3 linked regions of the Tamandua tetradactyla genome follow. The protein of the gene in region 3 interacts with the protein of the main gene of each other region in a biochemical or structural test. Links are inferred from orthologs where the notes say so. Each region holds a gene or a part of one and is shown on either strand. Other genes may lie near its edges. The genes, in order: DMC1, RAD51 and RAD51AP1.

Region 1 (10,599 bases), about 36 Mb from region 3:
GTGACTACCTTTCTTTACATTTTTATTTCCAGATCTGGCTGCCTCCTATGGTACCCAAAAGCTCTACAAGAAAGTTTAGGTCAAAGACAAATGCAGCCTCTTAGCTGCATGGGCCCTACATAGTCTGTGGGCCCACTTGTAAGGCATAAGTTACTTAGATCAGCTATCTCAGAGAGTATATTCTTGGTCATATCTAATTCTACTGCACAGATGCAGACCCAGTGACTGTTACTGAAGTCTTTTTCCAACCCCATCCTCTATTATCAATTGACCTATACCAGAAGAGAACAACTTCTTTGGTATTGCATGTTTTGCAACAACCAGAGATGTAGTTTTTGAGGAGATAAGACAAAAATAAGTAGAAGGAAGATTTAAAAAAAAAAGAAGAAGAAGAAAAGGAGAATGAAAGGTAAACAAACAGAAGGGGAGAAAAGTTTGGGTAAGAAGGAATTACCTTCTGTGCTGGTTTGAAATGATTTATGTGCCCTAGAAAAGCCATGTTTTAATCCTAATCCCATTTTGTAAAAGCAGATGTTTCTTTTAATCCCTATTCAGTATTGTATGTTTGAAATTGTAATTAGATCCTCTCCCTGGAGATGTGGCTCAAACAAGAGTGGATCTTAAGCTGGATTAGGTGGAGACTTGTCTCCACACATTCAGGTGGGTCTTGATTAGCTTACCGGAATCCTATGAAACAGGAAACATTTTGGAGAGTCATGTTCGCCATGTGCCCTTACAGCTGAGAGAGAAACCCTGACCACGTTTGCCATGTGCCTCCCAGTTGAGAGAGAAACCCTGAACTTCATGGGCCTTCCTGTATCAAGGTATCTTTCCCTGGATGCCTTAGATTGGACATTTCTATAGACTCACTTTAATTGGGACATTTCCACAGCGTAAAAACTGTTAACTTGCAATTTATTTAATTTCCCTTTTTAAAAGCCATTATGTTTCTGGTATATTACATTCTGGCACTTAGAAAACTAGAACATCTTCATTAGTGTTCCAGCTTAACCCCTACCTCAATCTTTCAGAAATAAATTGCCATTGCTTTGAAATTGAAGTGTTAAATGCTAACATGTAGAGTATAATATTGTGATTTACAGGAACTCTGAGTTTCCACAGTAGTTTCTGGTGTTCATAATGAAAAAAGGCTACAAAAACACACAAGACTTTTTTAAGCTAAATGAGCAAAGAATGGATTTTACTTACAATAAGTTTGTTGGCTGCTTCTTTAATTTTGTCCACTTTTGCTTCTGAGAGCCCTTTGACATTGCATAGGGCTCTTCTTGTTGTCATCTGTATCCCTTTGATGGTACAGATTCCCACTGACTTCAGTTTCTTAATGTCAGCCACATTCTGTAAAATAAAAGAATGGGCATAGCAGATTGATAAAATGCCAGTCTGAAAGCCTCTCACCCTATGTCATGTGCTTTTGTGTCCATTTCTTTCTACCATGATGCCAATTTTATACAAGCAGCCAGGTGGAACCCACCCACAATGTAGCCAAATGTTCTGGAAATATCTGTGTAGAACATACCCAGCAGGCTGCCAAATGTTCTGGCTGTGCCCTGATTTCCCAAGAATGTTAGTGAGACCATGGCAATGTAACAAGGAATTTAAAAGAAAAGTCTGTTAGTGGAAAAACGAACAAACTTCTCACGCGTTCACCCCCTCAGTTCAACTCTTTCCTTCTACAGAACTTCATTACCAATATGTTCATTTTTAATTTATTTAAAAGATTTTTTCCTCTGCCCTTGGAGAATGTAAATAACTACATCACGTAGGGACCAGGATTTCTCTTGTTTCTATTTTCTAAAACCAACTGAAAGAGATTAAATGTGAAAACTTCAAAAGATGTCAGAGAGCAATTGATTATTGTTGAAATTCATCTAGTTTGTCACTCAGTGTGGATTTTTACCAACATCATTTACTCTGATCATCTGAAATATAGAAGTGAATTTTCTGTTAATGAAGACAGTAGATGTAGGAAGAAATGACATGGACTGAACACCTCCAGTTGGACGAGTGGTTCTCAAATTGGGGCAATTTTATCCCCTGGAGACATCTGACAATGTCTGGAGACATTTTTGGTTGTTACAGCTGGAAAGATGCTACTGGAAATGTAGTGAGTGGAGAGAGGCCAGGGATGCTGACAAACACGATACAATGCATAGGACAGATTCCCAAGACAAAGAATTATCCAGCCCCAGATGTCAATAAGGCCGAGGCTGAAACATACTGAATTGGACAATTTAACACAGCACTGAAAAATACTTACAATTCCATGTTTTTGTAATAGGTCAATGTCTTGAAACAAAGATTCCTAAAGGAAATGGAAAAAATAATTGAGTTCTGACTCTTCATGGCCAACTGTTTCACATCTTTGAAAAAGTTAATTCAGTATTATGAGTTACTCCAAAATACCTCAAATTCCACCTTTCTAGACAGATGGAGAAAGGATTACTAATGTTTTTCTAACACACTGTTACATACTTAGAAGTGCCAAGTTTGAAATGGCTAGGAAACCTAACCTCTGTCACGGCCTCCCCCCCAATTTTAAGGCCTTTACCCAAAGAAATGGAAAGCATTAAACCTGTTTCTCAACCCTCTTCTCCACTAGACTTTGAACTCTTTCCTCTACAATCAGGCTGCTATTTGATACTAGCATACATAGATACCAGTCTGGCCATACAAGCTGTATTAAAATGCTTTCCTGTCCAGTTGATAAACCATTTGCTGTATAAGTTGTAACAACTTACATAGTTTTAATATTGCCTCTCTATAGAACTGCCTTATTTCTAGTCTCGCAATTTCTTTAAGTAGCTAACAGAGAAGGAACTTAATTTTTGTGGAATGATTGCATGGCTACATATCTTTCAACATTCTATTCATACCTCTTCATCTTGGAATCCTGGCTCTTCCAGCACAACTTGATCCTCCTTCATATTGAAAGCTGGGTAGCAGAAAAAAAATCAATTCTGGGAAATTAAGAAGTATTATTTAAAAAGTAGTTATACTTCATACAGTACATGATCCTTTGCCCAGAAGCCTCCTTGATTTCATTTCAAAGTCATTAAGGACAAGAAGGACAATAAGAAAAGCATTTAGTTTGCAAAGAATGGGATGTCTATCTTCTTTTTTGGTATTGTTTAGTTTGTTGGTGTGGTGGGGAGGATTGTTTGATTTCTTCTCTCTTTCTTCCCCACTGCTCACTTTTAATCATATTTATTTTGTATAGCACAGTTAATCATAACTTTCTGATAATATCTTTATTGCCTTGGAATGTTATTTAAAATTGCGTATTGCTATTTAACCTTTTATGTTTATGTAAAACAACGCTGTAAGAACCTTGACTTTTATTCTTCCTTGCATCCTCCCTGGCACCTAGACTATAGTCTATTCTCAGTAAATAGATTTTATTTTCTCATATATGATGACTTCCTACTTGCTGATTAGGAATGGTCTCTCTTGTAACATGCATCTTTGCATTTACTAGTTTCATGATATTTTTTAAGATTAAAAATATAGCAGATACTCAATATAATAACATTAGGGCCAACAAACAATTAAATAGTTTTTTATTTAACACTGTAACAGTTGTTTAAAATTGTTTTTAAAAAATTATTTTAAACTCCTGGTCTACTAGGTATGACTGTATTCCCTTTCCATCTCTTCACTGAATAGCAAAGCTAGGGGTTGGAGCCCAGTAGAACTGGGAACAACTACTAATGTAGAAGTAAGGTTCTTACTACTTATTACTTCTAAACAGGTAGGTATAGGAGGCAAATGTGGAGACAGTTTAAATGGGCTCTCCTGGAACACTGTCCTTCAGACAGTTATATTTATGATTACCCACAATTCCACATCCGCTCTCCGCACTGAATTAAAGAAAAAAAATCCATTTCTTCCTCCCTGATAAAAGGAAAAGATTGTTCAATTGATGGGTTGAAAAGTCCATCTTCTGGACTCCCAGTCATCTGGGTTTTACACCATGGCCTGCCGCCTCGATTTAAGGGGACCGGAGCTGTCCCTTATCGCGCGTGTGTGTGGGGGGGTGTTGGCAGGTCACCGCGAGGCCCCCCTCAGCAGGAGGCCTGGTCGCATGGGGCGTCCGCGGACCTGGGACCCCGACAGCCAGCGCCGCTGCCAGACACTTCCCTGACACCCGATTGCCTCATAAGAAAGAAGGCCGTGGGGGCGTCATCAAGACTTCGGTCTGATTTGATTTGAATGCCGGAAATCCCCCTAGGCCACTGAGAAGCCTTCGGGGGTGGGGTAAGCCACTAGCCCAGGCCCCAGCAACGACCACCGAGTATCATCAAAGAAAGGGGCGAGAAAGCGAACTCCGCTTGACCATCCCCTCAGGTTTCGCCCACGCTTTCTTTCTGCCATCTCCCCACGTCCTCATACCAACACTCTCCCTGAGGTTCTCAAGGTGAATCCCTTCCGCCCCCGGCCGGGCTTTCCAGTCCTCAGCTTCTCAGATTCTGGTTCCAACACCGAACGCCTGAGGCCACTAGCGCGTCACCGACCAGAGTTTGGCGCCAAACGACGACCGCCTGGGCGGGGCGGGGGCGGGGCTCGCGGCGGGGCGGGGCTCGCGGGGGGGCGGAGCTCGCGGGGGGCGGAGCCCAAGGGGCGGGGCGGAGAGCGAGGGAGCGGGTGGGGTCCCAGGGAACCTAGAGCTCGGCGGAGCCTCCTGGGGGTGGCGTGCTGGGGTGAGGGAGGGGCGCTGGGATTGAGGAAGTGTGCTGAGGAGAGGCTGGGGCGTCCCCTGGGGTGAGGGAAATGTTGAAGTCAGGGAAAGGACTCTGAGGTGGGAGTGCTGAGAAGAGAAATTAGGGAGTACTGGGGCGGTCGCTGAAGAGAGGCTGCTGGAGGCAAGAGCGCCCTAAGGTGGGGCTGTTCCGAGCTGAGGAGAGGCCGTTGGGGGAGTGGCTGATTCGAGGGAGGGGGTCACGGAAGTGGAAGCCCTTGAGGCTGAGGGAGGGGACTGTGGGGAGAAGGCTGACGTGGCGGAGGGCAGTGAGGAGCAGAATGCTGGTTTAATCGGAACCCTTGGGTTAGGAGGTCGAGGAATCCGGCCCACGTTTTTCATGCCTGGCTTCACAGCCTGTCCCTAAGACTTCACTGTCCCTAATCTCCTACTCGCTCTTCTCTATAACTCTGTTACATTTACCACTCGCTCGTCTGTGATTGAGACACTCTTCGGATGGAGAGTAATTTTTCTTCATCTGAACTCGAAGTTTTAAATAGACAAGAGAAACCAAACATATTTTGGTCCAGCTTTTAAACAGAAGTCTTAGACCAGCCTTCACGCCAGCAGAGCCATCTCTGGCAGCGTCATCCTTAAATGGAGACTGTTGTTGAGCAGAGTCGTGAAACATTTGAAAGAGCATCTGTTGAGGTGGAGGCTGTGATGTATCTTGGATGAATATCAGTGCAAACAGTTCTTTGGGTTCAAGACCCAGTACAGGGCGACACTTTTTCTTTGATGTCTGAATCATTTTACTGGAATAAATAGCAAAACCTTCCCACAATAGCAGTTGGTGTTTTGTAGGACATCCCCCCCCCCCCCAGGTGGATTGTCTAAAGAGCCAATAAATAACCAGGATAGCTCTTCAAATTCTGTTATTTTCCAGAAACATAGCCTGTCCTTCTTGTTAAATGGAAATGAGTACCCATTCTGGGGATGAACTGGGTAGTGATGACAGGTTTTCACTCTGAGAGTCACCTAAAATAATTATAGTAACTTCTGAGCATCTTGTTACATGAAGACATCAGCAGTATACAGAAAAGCTGCAAAGAGCACAGCAAGATGATTTAGGGAAATATAACATATGTAGTTTGGTGTAGTGACAGCTGGGAGAGAGATGGTCATAATATTTGAAGGTTGTGTGCAGTACACGTAAAGAAAGAAACAGAAATGTGGTTGACAATAACAAATTCATGATGTGAAGACAAAAATCTTGTTTGGATATCATATTGATAGTTATATACAACTTTAAAATGATTAGAACAAAAGCTCAAAACTCTGGGGTAGTTAAAAATTGCGCATAAAGACCTTTCCACTTAAGACAGTACAACAAAAAAAAGCGAGACTTTCAAATCATACAGAAATCTGAGTATGAAGTTGGCCTTTCAAGATAGTGAGGAAATGATGAGTTCAATGAATTGTGTTGGAATAACTACGTACCATACCTTATATCAAAATAAACTCCAGATGGATTAAAAAATTAGATCTGTACGATAAAGTAATAAAAGTGCTAAAAGAAAATATGGGAGATTTTTTTAAAATCTCAGAATAAGAAAAGGGTTTAAGAGTATGACACAAAGGACTGCCAAAAAGACTGATCAATATGGCTGCATTAAAAAAAATCCTTCATGGCAAAATGCCACTTTCCTATCCTAGATATAAAGCATAGCAAGCCAGAGCTTTTGTCCTGTTATTAGCCAACAGGGTAATAAAGCTTGCCCAATTTCATAAATCCTTCAGGGTGTCTACAATTTCTCTGTAAAATTTTGAAATTTTGTGTCATTTTTATGATATTCTTTTTTTTTACAATCCAATTTTTTAATTGGAAAAAAAAATCTGTAATAAACATACCTTAGCCCAAGTTCTCTAGAAACCAGAACAGAGGACAAAGCTTTCGTGTTATCATTTGATATTCTTAAAAATAAAAATAAACAGGCAATGGGATTACAGTCAGGACCTGAACAATTATACTTTACTGCCCCTCTGTGGACAACTACCTTATAACCAAATAGAGACACCTGATTCCTGAGAGTTTGTGAAAATTGGTGCCTGTGGATGGATATACTTGGAGGCTTAAGAGCTTCAATTTGAGAAATGCTTTAGCAGAGAATTAAAGAATGAAGGGTTATCACAAAAAGAATTCCATGGGCACATTTTCATTTAAACGTATTTAGTTCATTCAAAAATATGTATTGAATCTTTACTATTTGTCAGGCAAGGTGTTGGGCGGTAGGGATTCAACATAAAACAATATACAAACCCTAGTGGGGGCTATAAATGAATATATAAATAGTTACAGTAAGTGCTACTGTCGTAGTTTAACCTTAGATCTGCCTCTCTCCTATTGAGAGACAATTCCCCATGAATGTTTTCACTTTTCTGCATGGTATGGACTTTATGATTGAATGGCAAATAGGCCTTGGAAATTAGAGATGGGTGCATTGTTCTGGAGAGAGATTTAGAGATTTTTCTTCCCTGAAGCCATTTGCGCTCACTCTGAAGGTAATAAAACTTAGAGACATCTTTCCTCTCATTTGCTTATGTTTCAGAGTTGTAAAACCTAGGGACTTTTGGCTTCTCTCCTAGAGAAGTTTTAGGCAGTACTGACATTTTTCTGTCTATCTCCAGAGGGAAGGAGGAGCAGTAAAGTGTAATGCCCTGCACAACTTCAAGTCTCATAATTTTGGTGTTCCTCTCCTGTGGTTTAAACCCCACTGCACTCACAGGTGATATCTGGCCCTTTGTGTCACTCTGTGGGGAACTAGAGCATGGGGAACAGGTGCTAAGATGCTCTGTGAGTGTAACAGTCTGTTCTCTGATCCAGTCAGAATATATATCAAGTTAACCCCCAAAACAACTACCATCATTACCAAGAATTAGCTGCTTCTAGTATGTTTTGGAAAAGTGGGAAATTTCTTTTACATCCTTGAGATGTCCACTGGGAAGTAGCTTCTTAGCACTGGGTGCCCAACTCCACAGCACCTAGTTATGCCTCTGGATCATTTCCCGTTTCTCTGCTGCCTGGCATTTCTAGACACAGTCCCTTCAGTAAGGATCTACAGCTCTTTTTACACGACACGAGTGGAGAGATTGACGTGAGGCAGACCATGGTCCCCTATCTTTGAGCTATACTTTTTTTTTTTTTTTTTGCAGGTTAAAACTGTATTTTTAATAAAGGATGGCACCACGATGGGTGGAAACACTTTAACTAGTTACTAATTTTCTTTTTTTTTAAAACTTTTTTATTAATTAAAAAAATTAACAAACAAAACATTAAGATATCATTCCATTCTACATATACAATCAGTAATTCTTAATATCATCACATAGTTGCATATTCATCATTTCTTAGAACATTTGCATCGATTTAGAAAAAGAAATAAAAAGACAATAGAAAAAGAAATAAAATGATAATAGAGAAAAAAAGATTATACATACCATACCCCTTACCCCTCGCTTTCATTTACTACTAACATTTCAAACTAAATTTAACATTTGTTCCCCCTATTATTTATTTTTATTCCATATGTTCTACTCTTCTGTTGATATGGTAGTTAAAAGGAGCATCAGACACAAGGTTTTCACATTCACAGAGTCTCATTGTGAAAGCTTTATCATTGTTCAATCATCATCAAGAAACATGGCTACTGGAACACAGCTCTACATTTTCAGGCAGTTCCCTCCAGCCTCTCCACTACATCTTGAACAACAGGGTGATATCTACTTAATGCATAAGAATAACCTCCAGGATAACCTCTCGACTCTATTTGGAATCTCTCAGCCATTGACACTTAGTCTCATTTCACTCTTCCCCCTTTGGTCGAGAAGTTTCTCTCAATCCCCTGCTGTTAATTCTCAGCTCATTCTAGGGTTTTTCTCAGTCCCTTGATGCTGAGTCTCAGCTCATTCCAGGATCTCTGTCCCACGTTGCCAGGAAGGCAACTCCCCTGGGAGTTATGTCCCACGCAGAGAGGGGGAGGGTGGTGAGACTGCTGGTCATGTTGGCTGGAGAGAGAGGCCACATCTGAGCAACAGAAGAGGCTCTCTTGGGGGTGACTCTTAGGCCTAAATTTTAAGTAGACTTGACCTATCCTTTGTGGGGTTAAGTTTCATATGAACAAACCCCAAGACTGGGGGCTCAGCCTATAGCTTTGGTTGTCCACACTGCTTGTGAGAATATCAAGAATTCAACTTGGGGAATTTGAATTTCTCCCTGCTCTCACCATTCCCCGAAAGGGGCTTGCAAATACTTTTCCAGTCACTGATCAAATCACTCTGGGATTCATCGGGGCATCACTCTGGACAAACCAACAAAATCTCATGTCCTACCTGAGATTCCAAGTACTTATGACGTTCAATCAAACTATCTACATGAGTTATATTAGAAAATGCTCTAGTCAAAATATAAATTTTGTAACAAACATTTTTTGCTTTAGTCTCACACATAAGGTGACATTTTAAAGTATTAATTATCATCTATTTTCAGCACCCTGCAATAATGACATTCCTTTGTTCTTCCTCATGCAAAAACATTTTAAAAATTTGTACATTGTACATTTCACTATTATTATACACTCTAGGCATTCCTAGATTATACCATCTCGATCTTTAACATCTATCTTTCTTTCTGATTTCATTTATGTTCCCAGCCCTCCTCCCTCTATCATTCTCACATGCAGCTTCATTCAGTGTTTTAACAAAATTGTATTACAGTTAGGTAGTATTGTGCTGTCCATTTCTGAGTTTTTTGTATCCGGTCCTTTTGCGCTATACTTTTAATTTTGTGATACTATAATTTTATTTATCTCACTATCATTTAAAGCTGAAAGGTAATCAGGCTTTGTTGATACATCATGGTAACTAAAGGAAACGTTATGCTTGTATGCTAGACGGTTTTTTAAAAAATCAATGTTTAATTTATTAAAGTAATACATTTTAAAATTCACTTTGCCTTAAACCTTCAATAATAATGTTTTACTTATAGATCTAATACATTTTAATAATTGCTTTCAATTATTTGATCAATGTTTCACCAACTCAAATTCAACAGACCAACGCCCTTAAATAAATTTGTCCCATTTACAACTAATTAACTTCCATCAAACAATTCAAACAGCAATATTAACTTTAATATGTTTGAATTTCTTCTATTGCTTGACCTGATCAGCAAACTTTTCAAAGTTCTTAAACTACTCTATTAAAGTATAATCAACTTAAACAGTGACTCTCAGGTCCTCATGAATATTCCATAATTTAGTACAACTTTGTAAAATTATCTTACACCTTTCAACTAAAAAATATAAAGTCAGTCAATTACATATTTTAATTTGGAATCACAAGACAAATCTGTTAGATTCTCTAATTTGAGAAATTCTCTTATTACTTTATCACTTCTGTATTTAATGCTGAGCTTTCCTGAGCTTACACTTTGTCTCCAAGGAACTGGTTTACATTTTTGAGTTACTATCCCTAGCAAGTTGCATCTACCATCCTACAGGACTAAGGTGTTTGGGACATGAAATTTTTTTTTTTTTTTATTAATTAAAAAAAATTAACTAACACAACATTAGAAATCAATCCATTCTACATATGCAATCAGTAATTCTTAATATCATCACATAGGTGTATGGTCATCATTTCTCAGTACATATGCATCGATTTAGAGAAAGAAATAGCACAACAACAGAAAAAGAAATAAAGTGATAACACAGAGAAAACACAAATAAAAATAAAAAATACAAAAATATATAAGAGAAAGAAAAAAAAAACAAAAAAAACTAGAGATCAGATGCAGCTTCATTCAGCGTTCCAACATAATTACATTACAGTTAGGCAGTATTGTG
Region 2 (10,771 bases), on a different chromosome or scaffold from region 3:
GACCCTGGTCAAGGTCAATTTAAAGGTCACTTTAAACCAGTGCTTCCCAATCTCTCCACATTAATAGAAAATGACAGTTTACACTATGTTGGATAAACAGATAAGGCTGCTCCAGAATGGAGGGTATCACTATCTTTACACTTAATAACCTCTTTGTAGCACAATGACTAGGATGTTCTGTTGTAAAGATTGAAGACGACTACTTTTGGTCAGGGGCCCTATCCCACTTTTCAAAACAAACAACCCAAGAACACCATTCTCTCCCTATACCCAACAGCTTTGGTATTATTAGACACTAAAACCATGACTTCTGGGGAAAGAATGAGTTAGTGAGGGGATATATATGTATCTGGGAGCAGGAAGGGCTTGGGAGAGGGGAGAAAATAGTATCTGCCTATAGAAACCAACCATGTTTGCTATTCCAGCAGGGACTATTTTAGCAATAAGGAATACACATACCTGGGTATAAGGATGTTCATGGCACCAAAAGTCATGACTATTAACCAAAAATGCAGACCCCTACCCCCACAAAAAAAAACCATCTCTGATGTTTTACCACATTTACCCATTTACTTAACTTCTGGGGTCTTGAAGCTTAGCTGGGATAAGGGAAACATGCATAATAAAGCAATCAGAATCAAAACTTTCTCTCCTTTCTCCCCAACTTCTTTAGTACAAGTTAGCTGCACTAATACTGTACCACTGTACAATGGACAAAAACAGCACAGGACCCCAGCTCTGGCGCTTAATGCTTTTGGGCAGTCTTGCATTGGAGCTTGGCTCTTTTCCCTTTATATCCCCAAGTCCTTCTTTCTGCCTGTGACAGCTGCCTTGCTAGTAACTCCAGCACAAATCTCAGTGATATAGAGAAGTTGCTCCTTTCTCCCTGCATGGCTGCGCACAAGCCACTGGAATTCTCTGGACAGCACGTATATACTTAAGTGCAAACGGCACAGAGACTCTACCAGGGGATTCTAAAGCTTTTTAGCATCTGACAGCCCAACTCTGAGAAAGAAAAATGATAACGTAGGAGAATTATAGACAAAAGAGCCCTGGCCAGACATGTTTAGCTCCTATATTAACCCTTCCCACAAAATCCTTGAAAACTCTCACGAAAATTCTCATTTGAGTTTTGATCTTGGATGGAAATGAATGATTTATGTAAAGGCTGTTATTTCTCCCAGCAGGTAGAAGAATCTTGTTTAACATTATAATCCAAAACTTAACAACTTAGCATTTACCTCTAATCGTGAAATAGGTTGTGGGCCAAAGCTTTCTTCTTCCACTGAAGTATCTGCATTTGCTTCAAGCTGCATCTGCATAGCCATTACTCGGGGTGTTCAATACTGAAAAATACAGATGGCCATCAAAAATATTAGAGAAACACTGTGGCTTAAGTATGGAGTTGCAAATTCAGTTTTACAATAAATCTCTGAAAAATTACTTGTTAGGCGTTTAGTCTAATCACTGACCTAACCATGGCAGGAAAAAGAACAAACCTTTCACCAGCATTCCCCTCTATTTAGATAGAGTTGTAACATAAAAGCTTCAGGAAGAGCCAGGATCACTTGGCTTCTTAAAGATGCACAGCTTCACTAGATTAACTATTCCCCTCTATATCCCTATCTTAAATTTCTTATATTATCTTTATACTCCTTGAGGGTAGGAGCAAAGTCTTATTTATTTTTATACACTTCATGATACATTATGCTAAGTGTTTGATAAATGTTTGTTAGAAGAATCCGGACATTCCAGTACTCTACTTTAAAAAAAACAACTCTCAACCTAGGAAAGGTTTAACAGCTTTCGTTCCCTTGTTTCCTTCTAGCAAGAGGAATTCTGGGGGTTGGCGGGGTGGAGCAAGGGAGGAAGGGAAGAAGGGAGGCAGGAGTGAAATGAAGATACAGAATGGCTGCCCATAAGCCTCCGTTCCTGAAAGGGAAACTTAAGCAAAGATCATAGCTTAATCACACACTTGTTGCTGTCAATAGGAGAGTGTGAAACTCAAGGATCACCATTTTATTCAATTACAGAACTTTAGACACCTCAGTGAATGAGAAAATGAAAAACATGCAAGTGACCCATTCAGTGTAAACCCTTCCATTTAGCCTAAGGCCTATAGAATTATGATTGCTCGCCTTGGAAAGAAGTAGTTTCAAATTGTAAAAATGAACGAGTCTTGATGTCCACAAGAATACGTCATCTTAAATAACATCAAAAGAGTCTGGACAAAGGGAGTGCACAGGTAGTTCAGTGGTAGAATTCCTACCAGCCATGTAATAGACCGGGGTTTGATTCCTGGCCCATGTACTTCCCAAAACAAGCAAACAAACAAATATTCAACAAATGGTGCTGCAATAACGGGATACTCACATGGAAAAAAGAATGAAATGTGACCCAGCCATACAGCACACAAAAAAAAAAGTTTTGGACAAATGTAATCTAAAAGATAAGAGATACATAAACAATGAACAAACATAAAAGATACAAAATTTCCATTCCTGGAGACTTGAGAAAAGATAAGATGACCATTTGTGTCCATTGGTTTGGGGATGGATCTCTTCCATGGCGATTTAGCATACTGTGAGTTTAGAATAATTCAATTTATCCAAATCATCTGGATGCAATTTAAATTCAAATACCTTTCTTTGTAATTTATGAAAACAATGGCACTGCAGATTAATGATGAAAGGATGGTCTTTTCAGTAAATAGAGATGGAATGATAAAATGAACTTTGCTAAAATATCACACATTATAGAAAAATATTAATTTCCAATTTAGATGGTAAATCTAAATGTAAAAGGTAAAGCAAAACTTTTAATATAGGAGACTATGTTCTTGCCCTTGGGGTAGAAAGGATTGCTTATACTGTATACAAAATGCAACAATCATAAAACAATGGAAAAGATAAAAATTGGACATAATATTCAGAACTTCTATTCACCAAAAGACAGTATTAAGAGAATATACTCAGGGGGGAAATTCTGCCACATATATAATCAATGGCTGACAAACAGAATAGACAAAGAACTCTTTCAAATCAATTAAGAAAAAGACAGACAACGCAAAGAAAAATGAGTAAGATTTAAACAAGCACTTCACAAGAGAAAATATCCAGATGGCCAACAAATATATGAACCGATGCCCAACCTCATTAATAATCAGGGAAATTTAAATTAAAACCACAATGAGACAATACTACATACCCACTAGAATAGCTAAAATTAAAATGACCGACAATATCAAGTGCTGGCAAGTTGAGTGACTCCTACAGGGCTGTGTGCATGTATACTATTTTGACCATTTTGGAAAACTAGCATTAAATGTGAAAGTTCAAAACAGACAAATACTTTGACTCAGGAATTGCACCATTCTGTGTATTAACCACCTGAAAAGCATGCACATGCACACCAAAATATATATAGGAATGTTCACAGCAGCCTTTCTCATAAAATCCAAAAACTGAAACTAAGAAGAATAGAATGGATATGGAATACTATTCTTTATGAATCTACAGACATAATGTTTCATGAAGTCAGTCACAAGATAATCCATAAAGTATTATTTCATTTACACAATATTCAAATACAGACAAAATTAATCAATGGTATTATAAGTCAGTGGTTACCTCTGAGGAAAAGAGGGGCAAGTATTGGAAAAGGTTGTGCAAGGAAGGCTTCTGGGGTGCTGACAGCGTTTTATTTCTCGACCTGAGTGGTGATTACACAAGTATATTTATTTTGAATACACAAATGCATACAGTCGTGATGTGTGCATTTTTCCCTCTACATACATTACACTATACTTGGTAAATTTAAGGGGGGAAAACTCACTTCCCAGCATTCCCAGGCCACCACGTGACCAGCCTTCCACATTAGATTATGAAAATATTTCTTGGCAAATGAAGATTGGCACTTTGTAAGCAAAACACGGTGTGGCGTCAAGAGAAATGACCAGGAATCCGGAAATCATGGCTGTGGCATTAAAAAGTTGTGACTTTAACTAAGTCACTACACCTCCTTAGGTCTCGACTTCCTCGCCCACAGAACGGGTGTTAGGCTTGAAGGTGTCTAAGGTTCCTCCCAGTTCCGGTTGTCTTCACAACGAGCTCTGAAAGGCGGTTGGGCCTGGAACCCGCCCCTGCTCCGCCATCTCCAGTTTCTCAGCACAGAGGATAAGCGGCGGGAGAGCAAAGGCCCAGGTCCCATTCCGGCCAACGCGGGGACGAGCCGCGGAAAGGGGCCGGATCTGCGCCTCCACACTCACCTCTGCCTGCAGCGCCCCTCGCTCGCCAGCCGCGCGCTCTGACCTCTGTCCGCTGGCCCTGCGCGGGCCCGACCCCGGCCAGCTCCGGCCTCCTCGCTAGTGCCCCGCTTCCTTACTCCCCTGCCCAGGCTGTCTGCGCACAATCCAAGCGAGGCTCAGCTCCCAACTACGCTTGCCGGAGCGCGCCTCAGCTTTCCTCAGGCCTGGGTCTGGGCCTCAGCTCGCACTCTGCTCGGCGGCTTTCGGAAATCCCGCCAAACCCTCTCGGGCAGGGTCACGCCTGCGTCAGCGTAACGTGTCCCCGCCCTTCTCCAATCCCCCCGGAGCCGCTTTGGACACTGCATGCGAGCCCGAGGGATGGGTCCAGAGAACCAGCATGGTATTATAGGCTTGCTCCCTTTGTTTTACTCTAAGGATTATTTAAAATTTTCTGAACTGCTGTTCTCGTCTCTCTCCCAGATCGAGGACTACAACTCCCAAGAGGTAGTGGGGTCACCCGGAACTATATCTCCCAGCAGGTACCGCGGTTGCCGCAGCCCCCACCCTCGTCCCTGTGGTGGATAATCTGGTTCAGGGGACGGTTTTTTTTTACTTTGTTTCTGCGGTGTCTGAACCTGGGCTTTTGGCATTTCGCCAGACCTGAGTCAGTCAATTTCCCAGAGCAAGTTGTTTTCCAGGTCCCTGGAAGTGGTGAAACTGGAGAAACCATAGGAGATGAATGAAACTAGGAAATTGAGCTGAGAGCTAGCTCTCCAGAAGTGGAGAAAGAAATAGAAATACTGCAGGCTATCTCGGAGACACTGGTAGTTCGGTTCTGTACAACCGCCATAAAGCAAATATCACAATAAAGCAAATATTGCAATAAAGTGAACCACACAAAGTTTTTGGTTTCCCAGTGTATATAAAAGGTATTTACATTATACTGTAGTCTATTAAATGAACAATAGCATTGTGTTTAAAAAAAAATTGTACATACCTTAATCTTAAAATGTTTTAAATTTTTATTAAAATTTAATAAATTTTAGAAGAAATAAAAAGGTTTTATTTCTGAAAACTGCTAATCATCTGCGCTTCCAGGAGGTTGTAATGTTTTTGCTGGTGAAGCTTCTCACTTGGATATTGGTGGCGGCTGTCTGATCAGGGTGGTGATTGCTCAAGGTTGGGGGTGACTGTGACAATTTCTTAACATAAGACAACAATAAAGTTGCTACATCCATTGACTCTTCCTTTCGTATCTCTCTATAGCATACAATTCTGTTTGATAGCATTTTGACCGCAATAGAGCTTCTTTCAGAATTGGACTCACTCTTTTCAAAAGCTGCTGCTGCATTATTAACTAGTTTAATGTAATATTCTTGTCATTTCAACACTATTTAACAGCATCTTCACCAAGAGGAGATTCCATTCTCAAAAACTCTTTGCTCATCCATACTAAACAAGCCTCATCCGTTTAAATTTAATCATGAGATTGCAACAATTCTGTCCCATCTTCAAGCTCCACTTCTAATTCTAGTTCTCTTGCTTTTTCAACCACATCTACAGTGACTTCCTCCACTGAAGTCTGGAAACCCTAAAAGTTGTCCATGAGGGTTGGAATCACCTACCAAACTCCTGTTAAGGTTGATATTTTGACATCCTTCCATGAGTTATGAGTGTTCTTAATGGCATCTTCGATGCTGAATACATTCCAGAAGGTTTTCAATTGACTTCATCCAGATCCATCAAAGAAATCCCTCTCTATACCAGCTATAGCTTTACGAAATGTATTTCTTAAATAACAAAACTAGAAAGTAAAAATTACTCCCTGATCCATGCTTTGCAGAATGGATGTTGTATTAGCAGGCATTAAAACATTAATCTCACTCTACATCTCCATCAGGGCTCCTGACCAGGTGTGTTGCCAATGAGCAGTCATATTTTGAAAGGAATCTTTTTTTCTGAGCAGTAGGTGTCAACAGTGGGGTTAAAATATTCAGGGTGGGTCACGGTGGCTCAGCAGGTAAGAATGCTTGCCTGCCATGCCTGAGGACCTGGGTTCGATTCCCGGTGCCTGCCCATGTAAAAAATAATAATAATAATGGTGTCATACTAATAAAATAAAAAAGTTCACAATATAATTACTGTATCAAGATATACTAAAAAAATATATATATATATTCAGTAAACCATGTTGTAAACAGATAGGCTGTCATCCAGGCTTTGTTGTTTCATTTAGAAACCACAGGCAGAGTAAATTTAGCATAACTTTTAAGGGTCAGTATTTTCAGATTGATAAATGAGCGACAGCTTCAACTTAAAGTCACCAGCTGCATTAGCCCCTAACAAGAGAGTCTGTTTGTCCTTTCAAGCTGTGAAGCCAGGTATTGATTTCTCCTCTCTAGCTATGAAAGTCCTAGATGGCATATTCGTTCAATAGAAGGCTGTTTCACCTGCATTGAAAATCTGTTTTTTTGTGTAGCCCCTTTTATCAATAATCTTAGCTATATCTTCTGGATAACTTGCTGCAGCTTCTACATCAGGACTTGCTGCTCCACCCTGTATTATTATGTTACTCAGACAGCTTCTTTACTTAAACCTCATGAACCAAACTCTATCTTCAAACTTTTCTACTGTAGTTTCTTCAACTCTCTCAAGCCTTCAGAGACTTGAACAGAGTTAGGGCCTTGCTCTGGAGTATGTTTTGGCTTAAGGGGATGTTGTGGCTGGTTTGAACTTCTATCCAGATCACTAGAACTTTCTCCGTATTAGTAATAAGACTGTTTTATTTTCTTATCTTTGATGTGTTCCTGGCAGTAGCACTTTTAATATCCTTCAAGAATTTTCCTTTGCATTCATAATTTGGCTAACTGGTGCAAGGGGTCTAGAGCTTTCAGCCTGTCTTAGCTTCTTCGTTAAGCTTAATCATTTCTAGCTTTTGATTTAAAGAAAGAGACATGCAACTAACTCTCCCTCTCACCTGACCACTTAGAGGGCAGTGTAGGTTCGATTGTTGGGTCTAGATTTTGGATGACTTTTGCCTTCATCTGCAACGATCTATATATGTCTGTTAGGTCTAATTCATTTATCACATTGTTTAGGTTCTCTATTTCCTTATGATTCTCTGTCTGGTTTTTCTTCTATAGAGGAGAGTGGTGTATTGATGTTTCCCACTATTGTTATTGAAAGGTCTTTTGCTCCCTTTAGTTTCGCCAGTATTTGACTCATGTACTTTGGAGCTCCTTTATTGGGTGCATAAGCATTTATGATTGTTATTTCTTCTTGGTGAATTAATTCTCTGCTTTATTAATATGTAGTGTCCTTTCTTGTCTCTTATGATATCTTTGCATTTAAAGTCTATTTTTTCTGATATTACTATAGCTACCCCTGCTTTCTTTTGGTTACAGCTTGCATGAAATATCTTTTCCATCCTTTCACTTGGCATCTATTTGTATCTTTGGGTCTAAGATGAATATCTTATAAACAGCATATAGATGGATCATATTTTTAAATCCATTCTGCCTATCTGTATCTTTTAATTGATGAGTTTAGTCCGTTGACGTTGAAAGTTATTACTGTAAAAGCAGTTCTTAAATCTTCCATCTTCTCCTTTGGTTTTTATTTGTCAGATCTATATATTTTTCCTCTCTCTGTTTTTATCCTTTAAGTTACCCTTAGTAGTACTCTTCAGTTCTGTGCCCTTCTCCAGACCTCCTTCTCCTATCTTTGTTTTTCAGCTGACAGTACTCCTTTTAGTATTTTTGCAGGGCCGATTTCTTATTAGCAAATTCTCTTAGCATTTATCTGTCTGTGAAAATTTTAGTCTCTCTCTCACTATTTTTAATTGTTATTTAAGGCCTTTATTAACAGATACTTGCAATTTGTTGACTTTTTTGAAAAAATTAAGTTATAAACTTTTATTACAAATTAAATTAAATTAAATTGGATCTTCTTCTCACCTAAATTTACATATTCTCTCTATGTGGTCTTCTAGGGTTTTATGGCTGTTTTTCTTCTTCACCACTGTATTGTCAGTGCATAATTCAGGGCCTAACTTAGTAAACAATAAGGAAGTATTTGATGTATTAATGAATAATTGTTTCCTTACATCCCATCACCCAACCCAGTTCATAGTTAATGTGCCATTAAAAAAAAAAAACCCTATGCTGCATAGATAATGCAGGTAGTTCTAGTTATCTGGTCGACTGGCAAAAATCAAGCACTTAAGGTCTTCAGCTCCAATCCTTTGTTCATTTCTTATTGCTGGAATTTCATATTCACTTCTTGTTGTATGACTGAAGCAGATGATGATAGAGATGGTAAGCTAGCATTTACTCAGATCCACCCTGCTCAGCCTTGGGAGCAGAAGAATCCTCAGTTGGTAGATTGGCTACTTTTGTCTCTTTGCCATCTAGTGGTTTAGGATTTTCTGAGTGCTGCATCAGTAACTGAAGTTACCACGGTGCCAATGTTGAGGTGGCTGCTGACCTTGGGTCTCATTTCCTTGATTTTCTTTACCATTTTCATTGCTGTCCTCTCCAGGCTGTTTTTGGCAAGGAGGGCCCCTGCGGAATCCTGGTCTGTAACCCAGATACATATTCTGCCTCACTGGTCTACATTGTTCTCCTGCACCCTGGTTGTCAGTACCCTCCATCACTTCTCCTTGCACAGGAGGGTTGAAAACTGTGGATGACACCCACAGGGTCTCTGCATGTAGTAAGGTGGGAATTGTCGCCTACAGTAGGGCCAGTGTTGTTGGCCCTGGCCTTTGGGAGCACTCCCTGATCCCTCGTTATTTTCCCCATTCTCACTATTCTGGTAATTTTGCTGGTAAATTGCATGGAGGGCCCCTACAACATGGAAAATGTGTATAATGGTTACAGTCTGCTGCATATTTACTGTCTTGCTCTGGAACTCCACCAGGACCTGTGATGTTTGCTACCCCTGCCCCCTTTTCTCCTTCATCAACATCAAACTCCACAGTCTGTCTCTTACGCTGTGAAGGTACTTCTTCTTATGGCAGTCTGGTGTACAAGCACATCTTCCTTAGTATCATTCCTGTTGATGAAAGCATATCCATTTCTTGCATCAAACCATTCTGCTGTTCCCAAAACTTTCCAGGCAATGATCTTGTCCCTGTAGGCAGGTGCCGCCAATGTGAGGCCGCTTGGGATGCTGCTTCCTGTGCCACTGCCTGTGGCACTGAGCTTGGTGTCAACAGCACTGAGGGCGGGGGTGGTCGCAGCTGGGGTCTCATGGTTGCGGCGTTGGTGAGGAGGGCCGGCTGTGGCAGCTCTGGCTCCTCTGGGGCAAGATGGTAACTAGGCCAGCAGTGGTGGGGGCTCCGCTGCGCAGGGCTCTCTTCTCCCTCACTTTTGAAGGACAACTTTGATGGATAAAGAATACTTCACTGGAAATTTTTCTCTTTCAGAATCTTGAATGTATCATACCACTGCCTTCTTGCCTCCACGGTGCCTGTCAAATAGTCCAAACTGAGCTTTATGTGGCTTCCCTTGTATGCAGTGAATCACTTTTCTCTTGCTGCTTTTGGGACTTTCTGCTTCTTTTCAGCATCTGACAGTTGATTAGTATGTGTCTCCAAGTGGGCCTATTTGGATTTGGGCTTCTTTGATTAGCATATTTATGTCTTTTATAAGGGTTGGAAAGTTTTCTCTAATTATCTCCTTAAATAATCTTCATAGCCCTTTATTCTTCTCTTCTTCTGGGACACTAGTGATTCTTATATTTCTATGCTTTTTGTTATCCATCATTTTCCTAAGATCCAATTCAAAGATGTCCATCTTTTTCGCCATTTGTTCTTTGTGTGAATTCAGTTGTCCTGTCCTCTGCTTGCTTATTCTTTCTTCTGCCTCTTCAAATCTGATGTTGTGTGTCTCTAGTATATTTTTAAACTTTTTTTATTGTATGGTATAACATATATACAAAGCAAAGAAATAAAAAATGCAATAGTTTTCAAAGCACTCTTCAACAAGTAGTTACAGGACAGATCCCAGAGTTTTTCATGTGCTACCATATGATCCTCTCATATTTTTCCTTCTAGTTGCTCTAAAATATGGGAGGCTAGAGTGCGTAAATATTTTCATCATCATAATTGACTTTTTTTCCTTCTTTTTTTGTGAAAAATAACATATATACAAAAAAGCTATAACTTTCAAAGCACAGCACCGCAGTTAGTTGTAGAACATATTTCAGAGTTTGACATGGGTTACAATTTCACAATTTTAGGTTTTTGGTTCTAGCTGCTCTAAAAACTGGAGACTAAAAGAGATATCAATTTAATGATTCAGCATTCATATTCATTTATTAAATCCTATTTTCTCTATATAACTCCATCATCAACTTTGATCTTTCCATCCCTCTGTTTAAGGGTGTTTGGGCTATGGCAATTCTAAACTTTTCATATTGGAAGGGACTGTCACTAATATGGGATAGGGATATGAAACTGTCTGATGTTCTGGAGAGGCTGGGCTAAATTTCAGGACTTATCTGGACCAGGGACCCATCTGG
Region 3 (10,325 bases):
AGACAGTAAATGCTCTAGGCTTTGAGAGTCATAAAGCCTTATTCACAACCACTGTACTCTGCCACTGCAGGCTGGGCAGCAGCCAAGGATAACATGTAAACAACGGGGCTGTTTTCCAATAAAACTTTTATAGACTGTCATTTGAATTTCATATAATTTTCACGTCACAAAATCTTTTTATTTCTTTTCAACATTTAAAAATGCAAAAACCATGCATAGATCCTGGGCTATACACCTGGGTTTGGTCTGTGAATTGTAGTTTGCCGGCCCCTGTTCAAGAGAATAGATAAATCAGTGTGTCGGGGGGATTATCAGTCATGTTCTTCCTTGCTAGAATTTAGAGTGAATGAATACTAATTGACATCAGAAAGTTTTGCTTTCTCTCAGAAATAAATGACCATAACCTGAAATGTAATAATGACCAAACACAAATTAAAGAAATTAGGTTTAAGGGCTAAGCGGTTAGATAGTTAGGTCTTAAATAACGGCAAATTGCTTGAATTAGGATACAAGGAATGTTTTCAGAGACATCAGGAGCTAGAAGTTCTATACAAATGTTTTGACATTTGTCAAACTAGAAAGAAGTGTTCTAGTTTGCTAGCTGAGAGAATGCAATATACCAGATATGGAATGACTTTTAAAAAGGAGAATTTAATAAGTTGCTAGTTTACAGTTCTCAGGCCAAGAAAATGTCCCAATTAAAACAAGCCTATAGAAATGTCCAATCTAAGGTATCCAGGGAAAGATACCTTGCTTCAAAAGCCAGTGAAGTTCAGGGTCTCTTTCTCAAGTAAGAAGGCACATGGCGAACATGGCATCATCTGCTAGCTTTCTCTCCTGGCTTCCTGTTTCATGAAGCTCCCCAGGAGGTGTTCTCCTTCTTCATGTCCAAAGTTGCTGGCTGGTAGACTCTGCTCTCTCTGAATCTCTCCAGCTTTCTCCAAAATGTTTCTTGCCTTCAGCACAGCAAGTTCCAGAAACTAATCAAGACCCACCCAAGGCATGCCTCCACCTAATCCAGCTTAACAACCACTCTTGATTAAATCACATCTCCAAGGAGATGATGTATTAGTTTCAAGCATACAATGCTGAATAGGGGTTAGAAGAAACAGCTGCCTTTACAAAATGGGATTAGGATTAAAATATGGCTTTTCTAGGGTACATACATAATTTTAAACCAGTACAAGAAGCAACAAGTTTTTCTCACAGACTTAGAGTAAGAAAAGTTGCTAGGGTGCTGAGAAATGCATTGGTTTGTTTTGAATTGAAGTCTTGTGATTTATTTGAAAAAACCTAGTGAACTTAATATCCCCAATTTACCAAGAGGAACACAATTAAACCAAGGAAATAGACAAGTCTAGCTTCTTAACAGTTGCAATGTGGAATATGAAAGGGTTTCGATGAACTCTTCTTATTCTGATACATTAATATCCCTTGGTTTATCATGCACTTCAAATGGATATTTTACTGATGCATGATTTTGTTACATCATTTGTTGGCAATCTGGAAAATACTGGTTCACTGAGTTATGCAGGTCTTCCAAATATCTATATACTTTACTACACAATATCAAAAATCACATTTGTTAATATCACCATCAAATTCATCCCAAAAGTCTTTGAATATTGGGAAGCCATCAAGTTTACAGTGCCACACACAAGTTTTCCAAAAAACTTCTAATTTTTGCTAGTCAGCACAAATTTTATCACTGGAAACAAATGCTGTCAGTTATTTTCTTTGAAGTGACAGGTTCAATAAGTTCCTTTTCCAGAATGTCCACCATATTCCAAGTGTGAATAGCTCCTAGCTTGTCAGTTAGTTGTTCTTTCAAGTAAAAATGGTATAACAAGGCAGCTATTTCAGCTTGTAATTTACACATTCACACAAGTGCTTTTCCTAGAGATAACTATTGTACTTTGGTATGTAGAAGTGCTTTATGCATACTTTCCATTTCCTCACAGAGAATATTAAAAAGAAGTGTATTCTTGTTGTTACTCTCCTACTCTTCAGAGTTCAGATTTGAGAGCTGAATAAAACATGGAAACCCCTTGAGAAGTATTAACATTGAACAACGATAAAATAAAATCAGAAGTCTTCATTTAAAAAAAATACATCCAAGGGTTGAGCTACAATAAATATAATTCTTACTGTTTCATCAGGAATATTCTTTTTTTCATATATATATTTATTAAATATAATCACATAAAAACACAACCATTCTTACCATATGTTCATTCCATTCTTGATATATAATCAATAACTCACAACATCATCACATAGTTGTATATTCATCATCATGATCATTTCTTAAAACATTTGCATCAAATTAAAACATTTGCATCAATTCAGAAAAAGAAATAAAAAGAAAACAGGAAAAAAATTCATACATACCATACCCCTTACCCCTCCCTTTCATTGATCAGTAGCATTTCAATCTACTAAATTTATTTTAACATTTGTTCCCCTTATTATTTATTTATTTTTAATCCATATGCTTTACTCGTCTGTCAATAAGGTAGATAAAAGAAGCATCAGATCGTTTTCACGATCATACAATCACATTGCAAAAGCTATATCATTATGCACTCATTTTCAAGAAACATGGCTATCAGAACATACCTCTACATTCTCAGGCAGTTCCCTCCAGCCTCTCCATTATACCTTAACTAAAAAGGTGATATCTATTTAATGCATAAGAATAACCTCCAGGATAACCTCCTCGACTCTGTTTGGAATCTCTCAGCCACTGACGCTTTATTTTGTCTCATTTCGCTCTTCCCCCTTTTGGTCGAGAAGGTTTTCTCAATTCTGATGTTGAGTCCCAGCTCATTCTAAGATTTCTGTCCCATGTTGCCAGGAAGATCCACACTCCTGGGAGTAATGTCCCACATAGAGAGGAGGAGGGCAGTGAGTTTGCTTGTTATGTTGGCCGAGAGAGAGAGAGGCCACATATGAGCAACAAAAGAGGTTCTCTTGGAGGTGACTCTTAGGCCTAATTTTATGTAGGCTTAGCCTATCCTTTGTGGGGTTAAGTTTCATATGAACAAACCCCAGATTGGGGGCTCAGCCTATTGTTTTGGTTGTTCCCACTGCTTGTGAGAATATCAAGAATTCTCCACTTGGGGAGGTTGAATTTACCCCCTTTCTCACCATTCCTCCAAAGGAAGCACATCTTTAAGTGAAACCGGCATTTTCTTTTTTTTCACTCCGTGTGGCAGGAAAGAATGCAATGACTACTAGTAAAGTTTGGTGTCACTGACTTGATTCATGCTAAGGCACCAGAAGTTTTACCCATCATTGCAGTGCAAATGACAAAACAGTGAAAAAGCAAATATCTTATTTGAAAATAAGATATTTTATTTGAATTTGTATTATTATGAAAAATAGTTTTGATCCCACAGACCCTCTGAAAGAATCTCAAGGACCCTTAGTGGTCTGTAGAACTTTTAAAAATGCTTTTCAAATAAAAGGATTATATCTTCTTTACTTGCATGCTTAAAACACATTTCAAACATGTGTTTGAAACAGAACTCTTGGTCCCCCACACCTCCTCAGCATGTTCCATTTCCTAGTCGCCTCCATTTCAATTAATAAAAAAATCTACAGAGCCTGCCCATATTAAAAAAAAAAAAAATTTACATAGCAGCTCAGGCCAAAATTCTTGTGGAGTCATCTTTGATTCTTTGTCCTTATCAAGAAATTCACTTCAGCAAGTCATCAGCAGTACCTCCAAAATATATCCCAAATTCATCTATTCCATCCCATGTCTACTTTTAACACCCCCTAATCTAAGCCACCAAAATGACATCATAGCCTTCCAACAGGCTGCTCTGCTCCCATTCTAGTCATGCCATCCACCCATTCATTCTCCACTGGCAGCCAGTGACCTTTATAAAACCAAAATTAGATTTTTCTCCCCTATTTAAAATCTTTCATTGGCATCCCTCTGTAGAAATAAAATCCTTTCTAAGGTCTGCAAGGCCCCACCTGGTCTGGACACTGCCTATTTCTCTGACCTCATCCGTTACAACTCTCCCCACTGCTCACTATTCTACAGTGTTAGTGGCCTTCATTTTGTTCCTTGAACATGCTCACGCTTAAAGCCTTAATAGTTGCTGTTCCCTCTACCTGGATTGTCCCAGATTTTCACCTGTCTAGCTCTGTCTCATTATTCATATCTCAACTCAAGGGTTATCTCCTCAGAGAGCCTTGGCTTAACTATTCTATTTAGAATAGGGCTTCCATCTTTTCCACTATCACACTGTGATGTTTATTTTCTGCTCCCTATTCACCCACCCCCCACTGGAATGCAACCCCCCAGCACCTCCTATAGGACAGAAGTTAATATGTTCAATAGCTTTTCTGAATGAATGGTTGACGTTAAGCCTCCATGGCACTCAAATGTGATTAAGTAGGGAATAGGTGCAAATAGTATAATGAAAACCACTGAGGATATGGAGTCAGATGACATAGATTTGAATATTCTCCTGCAACTCACTTATCTTTGCCTTTCTGCCTGGGAGTTTTTAATCGATGAAATAGGGATAATTAACCTTTCTACGTTAAAGAAAACTAGTGATGAACAACTGAAATAACACTTAAGTAGGTATTGTTCAAATTTTAACATAACAAGGTCTTTTGCGGGGTCGGCAAAGAGTGAGAGAGAAGAAGACTATGATGCTAGGATATTTCTGAGGAATGCGTGGCTCTGACGGGAACCTGGAGAGTTTCTTCCTGATAAGGCCTTTTCCCCTAACCATATAACTCCCACCATCCCCACCCTCCATCCTACCGAGCTCTCCCTTCACTCCTGTGTAAGCTAAGTTGCCCACTGCATCTTCCTTCCCTTCCTCCCCAACTCCGTCGAATGTCATTAACTACCTACCGCACAGGCCGCACCATGGTCCGTTCCAAGGATGCAAATCTGCAGGTCTCAAGTTCTCCTAGGAAGCACTGGCGGTTTCAACTCCCGCCTAAAACCGAAGAACGAAGCTCTCCGCCCACTGACAGTCAGTCCTCCAATCATTTCCCTAGTTTTGCGAAAGCGCATGCGCCCTGAGAAAATCTCATTTGTTCAGGCCCTTCCCAAGACAACTGCACTTCCGTATCCGGTCAACCCCAGCGGAGTTTGCGCTTTGCCCTTGCACTTTCGTGATGACAGTGACTTTTGCGCCGTCTCTGAAATACGCAATAACAGTAGAAATGCACCTTCCTAATTGAAGCAAGAAGAAATAAGTGGTGCTTAGATCTATGGGTTTTCCATCCAGTACCAGGGACGAGGAGGTGGTGTGGGGGAATCTGCCGACGGAACTGCTGGATGTAACAACGAGTAGGTAAAACAGCTGATATCCCTAGTGCCGAGGCTCGTGGACCACTCGGAGTGTGCCGATCGCTGAAGACTTCGGGACTAGACAAGGTGAGACTAAAGAACGAGGCCCTTCAGTCTGAAAACCCCTAAATGGGCTCCGTTGGCTGGAGTTTCTCGGCCCCGCAGCCCGCCTTCCTTTTCGCAGACGAATTTTACCCTCGGAACCTCTACTAAATTAACTGTATAAACTAGGTGCGGCCTTCCTCCCACAACATTTTTTTTTTTTACGGGAAGCCTATCTTGTTATCATCCCTGCTAAAACTGAGGCGAGGCTTTAGATAGTAAAAAAAAAAAAAGCGGAAAGGTATCACTTTGTTGGACTGCAATAAAATTTAATGTCCAACCGATCGAAACTAGAGCTAATGGTTTTTGCTTACCGAAAGTGTTGCGTTTGAACAAAATTATACCATAACACCATATTTTTATAACTTTCAATTTTCTACCACAGTATTCCTTTACTGCTTCTGCCTTGGTCATGTGCACACAGCTATTGGCCTATAGGCTCCCCCACCCCACCCCAATAGCTAATTATATTATTACTAGTTTCTATATTGATCATTTCATGTTTACCAGGTACTTCATATTATTTTATCAATCCTTATGACAGTCCTGCAAGTTAAATGCATTATCCCCGAATGACAGTTGCTCTGGCAGCAAGTAAATGGCAGAGTCAGAGTTCGGGCCATTTTACTGATAAATGAAAGATTCGTTCTCTTATCACTGCATTGACTGCCTTCAACAAATATTTGCCTAAAGTCAACTCTGTATGCAGTGGTTCAACTTTTGTTAAGACACAACTCTTGTTCTTAGGATTCTCACTGCCTAGTGAGGACATGGTACAGATGAAGCTGGGGATGTAACTGCGGATCAAATCATGGACACCCTTGTATGCCATGCTGGGAAGTTTGGGGAGGAGGCAGTGGTAAACACTCAGGAGTTTTAATGAAGGCAGTCTAAATTCTGGAGAGTTGGGAATGGTTGGTTTGCTGGGGGTAAGGAAACCTGTTAGGCTGTTTAATATAAAGTGAGTGTGAATGTCTCTTTAAAAAAAAAGTTTTTTAATCGTGAAATATAGCATACCTACAAAGAAAAGAAAGCAATAATTTTCAAAGAACTCCCTAATACCTTCAGTGACAGAACACCTTCTGTAACATGCAGCTGTGGAAGAGATTTCAGAGCCTATTATGGGCCACCATTCCGCCATTTCAGTTCCTCTCCCTGCTGCCCTTCCACCCCAACAGCTGCAAAACACTGGAAACTAGAAGGAATATTAATATACTGATTCAGCAATCATGCTTGTTTGTTAAATCCTGTTTCCTGTGTTATACCCCCTTCTCCTTTGATCCTTCTCCCATCTATAGGGATCTTTAGGCAATGCCCATTCTGACTTTTTCATGTTAAGGGGTTCAACACTAAAGGATAAGGGGATGTGTTCTAATTTGCTAGCTGCTGGAATGCAACATACCAGAATCAGAATGACTTTTTAAAAGGGGAATTTAGTAGTCGCTAGTTTACAGTTCTAAGTCCTAGAAAATGTCCAATTAAAACAAGTCAATAGAAATGTCCAGTCAAAGGCATCCAGGGAAAGATACCTTGGTTCAAGAAGGCCGATGAAGTTCAGGGTTTCTTTCTCAAGTGAGAAGGCACATGGTGAACACAGTCAGGGTTCCTCTCTCATCTGGAAGGGCACATGGTGAGCATGGCGTCATCTGCTAGCTTCTCTTGGCTTCTTGTTTCATGAAGCTCCCCAGGAGGCATTTTCCTTCTTCGTCTTCAAAGGTCGCTGGCTGGTGGACTCTGCTTCTTGTGGCTATGTCGTTCTGCTCTCTCTGAATCTCCCATTCTCCAAAATGTTTCCTCTTTTACAGGACTCCAGTAAACCAATCAAGACCTACCCAAATGGTCTTGACATGTCGTCACCTAATCCAGTTAAACAACCACTCTTGACTAAATCTCATCATCCAGGGAGATGATCTGATTACAGTTTCAAACATACAGTATTGCATAGGGATTATTCTGCTTTTATGAAATGGGATTTTGATTAAAACATGGTTTTTTAGGGGGCATACTTCCTTTCAAACCAGCACAGAATGTAATTAATTGATACTCTTGGAGAGGTTGGTCCCTCTGGGTTTCAGGACTTACTGGCCTAGCAACCCTCTTGAAATTATAGGTTCCAAGAAAACAAACAGTGCATGGAACTTTTATAGAGTTGGAGTTCGAGCCTAGGTGTTCTTAAGAGTTAACAGGAGTGACTTTGATTGGGGTTTAGCAAACCATGGCAACTAGCACCATCTAACTGAAGCTTGCATAAGAGTAGCCTCCAGAATAGCCTCTTGACTCTTTTTGATCTCTCTTAGCCACTGATACCTTATTTTATTACATTTCTTTTCCTCCGTTTGGTCAGGAAGGCAGTTGTCTATTCATGGTGCCAGGGCCAATCTCATTCCTTGGAGTCGTACCCCACATTGTCAGGGAGATTTTCACACCCCTGAATATCACCTCCCACATATTGGGAAGGGTGATGATCCTCCTTACAGAGTTGGGCCTAGAAAAAGAGAGAGAGAGGCCACATCTGAGCAACCAAAGAGGTTTCCTGGAAGCAACTCTTAGGCCTCATTATAAATATTCTTAGCTTCTCTGCTACAGAAATGAATTTCACAAGGACAATCCTCAAAATCAAGGGCTTGGCCTGTTTTCTTGGGAGTCCCCAGTGTTTGAGAGGGTACCTGGAGTTTCCCAGCTGGGAAAGTTTTTAATAGTTCCATGTTTTGGTTTTTTTTCCTTCACACTCTCAACCAATACTTTTTAATTATCAGCCAACCATAGTCCTGAGATGTATCCTGATATTACATTAAGCTATACAGAATTATAGGCCTTGTTTCCGTCCAGGACTCCAGGAATTTGGCTTGTTTAAATGAGCGGTACAAACAGGTTGATTTCGATTGTGTGCTACACAAAATTTAGATTCTAGACATAATAAACCTCTCTGCCTTTGGTCTTATACAGTAAGTGAAAGTCTAGAGTACAAAAACTATCATCTTTTACTCTGTATTCTGATTTACCTTAGCCCCAGCCAGATTGGCTTTGTTTTTATCTCTAATTGAGACCTGATCTCTTTTTTGGTTACTTTAATTGTTATAGTACATAGCTGTGCTAACTTTCAGGGCTCAGCACTCACATTTTTGTGTCTTACGTATCACAGTTACTTAGAGTTCCAGGGAAATACTGTCTGATACACATATAGCTCAGTGTCTCAGAATCTAGGAATATACTTACAACTTCAAACTAAGTGTGGCTGCTATAAGGGCTTACAAACTAGGCTCCATTTTTCTTATAAGTATTTTCTGAAAGAGACCTTAGCATATTTGTTCTTTTGTTTCTGGCTTATTTTGTACCACATTATCTCCAAGGTTTATTCAGTTCGTTGCATGCCTGTTGGTGTCCTTTTTTGTAGCCACACCATATTCTTTCCTATACATGTATCACAGTTTGCCATTCTTCTCAGTCATTGTATCCTTTAGTTCCCTTCCATAATGGGCGTCATAGATAATGCCCAAAATAAACAAACTATGTCTTATGGTATCCTCCCTGGGTTGTACAATCAACAGCATTCTCAATTTTGGACAAGTTTCATTTATCTTCAGCGACAAAGAACTGACACACAGCGTCACCAAATATCGAAATCAAAACTACCCCTTATCAATTGTACCTCCCCTGCAATTAGTTGTCCCTGGTAGTGCTGTGGTACTGTTGATGTCTTCTTGTTAACTATTGACCATATCATGCATTTTTAGTTTTCCCTCTGTACCTCTTTACTATTAACTCTTTGTTCAATGTCAAATCTTTGAAATAGTTCATGCGAGAACTTACTTATAATTGTAGATTTACTCAGTGGGATATATGGGCACTATACATTCCCTTTTAATCATATTCACCTTCAATATAGCAAAGTTACTTATAATGCCACAAATTAGTTACTGTCACTTCTATCTGTTTTTCAGTACCCATGTTCTGTCCCAGTTCAGTGGATTTGGGAACCTTATCGAAGATCAGTTGTCCATATTTTGGTGGTCTGTCCCTGTACTCTCAATTCAGTTCCATTGGTCAATACTATCTTTGTGCTAGCATCATGCTGTTTTGACCACTGTGGTTTTATAGTAATCTTTAAAGCCTACTACTTCGCTCTTCTTTTTTAAGGATATCTTTAGCTATTCAGGGTCTCTTTACCTTACAATTAATTTGAGAACTAGCTTTTCCAAATCTTCAAAATAGGTTATTGGGATTTTGATTGATTTTGCATTGAATCTGTAGCTCATTTTGTGTAGAATTGACATCTTAACAACAGTCAACCTTCCTATCCATGAGAATGCAATGCCTTTCTATCTATTTAGGTCATTTTTAATTTCTTTTAGCAATGTTTTGTAGTTCTCTATGTACAAGTCTTGACATCCCTGGTTGGACGTATTCCTTTATACCTGATTCTTTAGATAGCTATTTTCAATGGAATTTTTTCCTTAATTGTTTCCTCAGATAGGTCATTACTTGTGTTTGGAATTTTACTGATTTTTATACATTAATCTTATATTCCACCACTTTTCTGAATTTGTTTATTAGCTCAGATAGCTTTCTCATAAATTTCTCAGGGTTCTCTAAGTATAGGATCATGTCATCTGCAAATAAAAATTTTTGCTTCTTCCTTTCCTCTTTGAATGCATTTTATTTCTTTCTCCTGTCTAATTGCTTTAGCTAGGATTTCTAGTACAGTGTTGAATAATAGTGGTAACAATGGGTATCCTTGTCTCATTTCCAATCTTAAATGTTTTCAGTCTCTCACCGTTAAGTATGATGCTGGCTATGGGCTTTTCATATAGGCCCTTTATGATATTGAGTAAGTTTCCTTCGATTCCTAACTTTTGAAGTGTTTTTTCAGGCCAGGATGCTGAATGTTGTTGAA

Evidence for each region.
Region 1: the proteins of RAD51AP1 (region 3) and DMC1 form a complex in vitro, tested with the Homo sapiens proteins (2 studies listed by BioGRID and IntAct). The link is inferred for Tamandua tetradactyla from reciprocal best matches to the Homo sapiens genes RAD51AP1 and DMC1.
Region 2: the proteins of RAD51AP1 (region 3) and RAD51 form a complex in vitro, tested with the Homo sapiens proteins (6 studies listed by BioGRID and IntAct). The link is inferred for Tamandua tetradactyla from reciprocal best matches to the Homo sapiens genes RAD51AP1 and RAD51.

What each region holds. Positions count from the first base shown.
Region 1 is NC_135333.1:30,912,144-30,922,742, forward strand, and holds the start of DMC1 (meiotic recombination protein DMC1/LIM15 homolog), read right to left. Parts: upstream 4,559-10,599; 5' UTR 4,411-4,558; intron 2,979-4,410; exon of another isoform or gene 2,954-2,978; 5' UTR 2,946-2,953; coding exon 2,895-2,945; intron 2,324-2,894; coding exon 2,279-2,323; intron 1,357-2,278; coding exon 1,210-1,356; intron 1-1,209. UniProt on the Homo sapiens protein: Participates in meiotic recombination, specifically in homologous strand assimilation, which is required for the resolution of meiotic double-strand breaks.
Region 2 is NC_135340.1:53,974,829-53,985,599, reverse strand, and holds the start of RAD51 (DNA repair protein RAD51 homolog 1), read right to left. Parts: upstream 4,729-10,771; 5' UTR 4,461-4,728; exon of another isoform or gene 3,835-4,460; intron 1,349-3,834; 5' UTR 1,329-1,348; coding exon 1,242-1,328; intron 1-1,241.
Region 3 is NC_135333.1:66,778,821-66,789,145, reverse strand, and holds the start of RAD51AP1 (RAD51-associated protein 1), read right to left. Parts: upstream 5,053-10,325; 5' UTR 4,903-5,052; coding exon 4,886-4,902; intron 1-4,885. UniProt on the Homo sapiens protein: Structure-specific DNA-binding protein involved in DNA repair by promoting RAD51-mediated homologous recombination.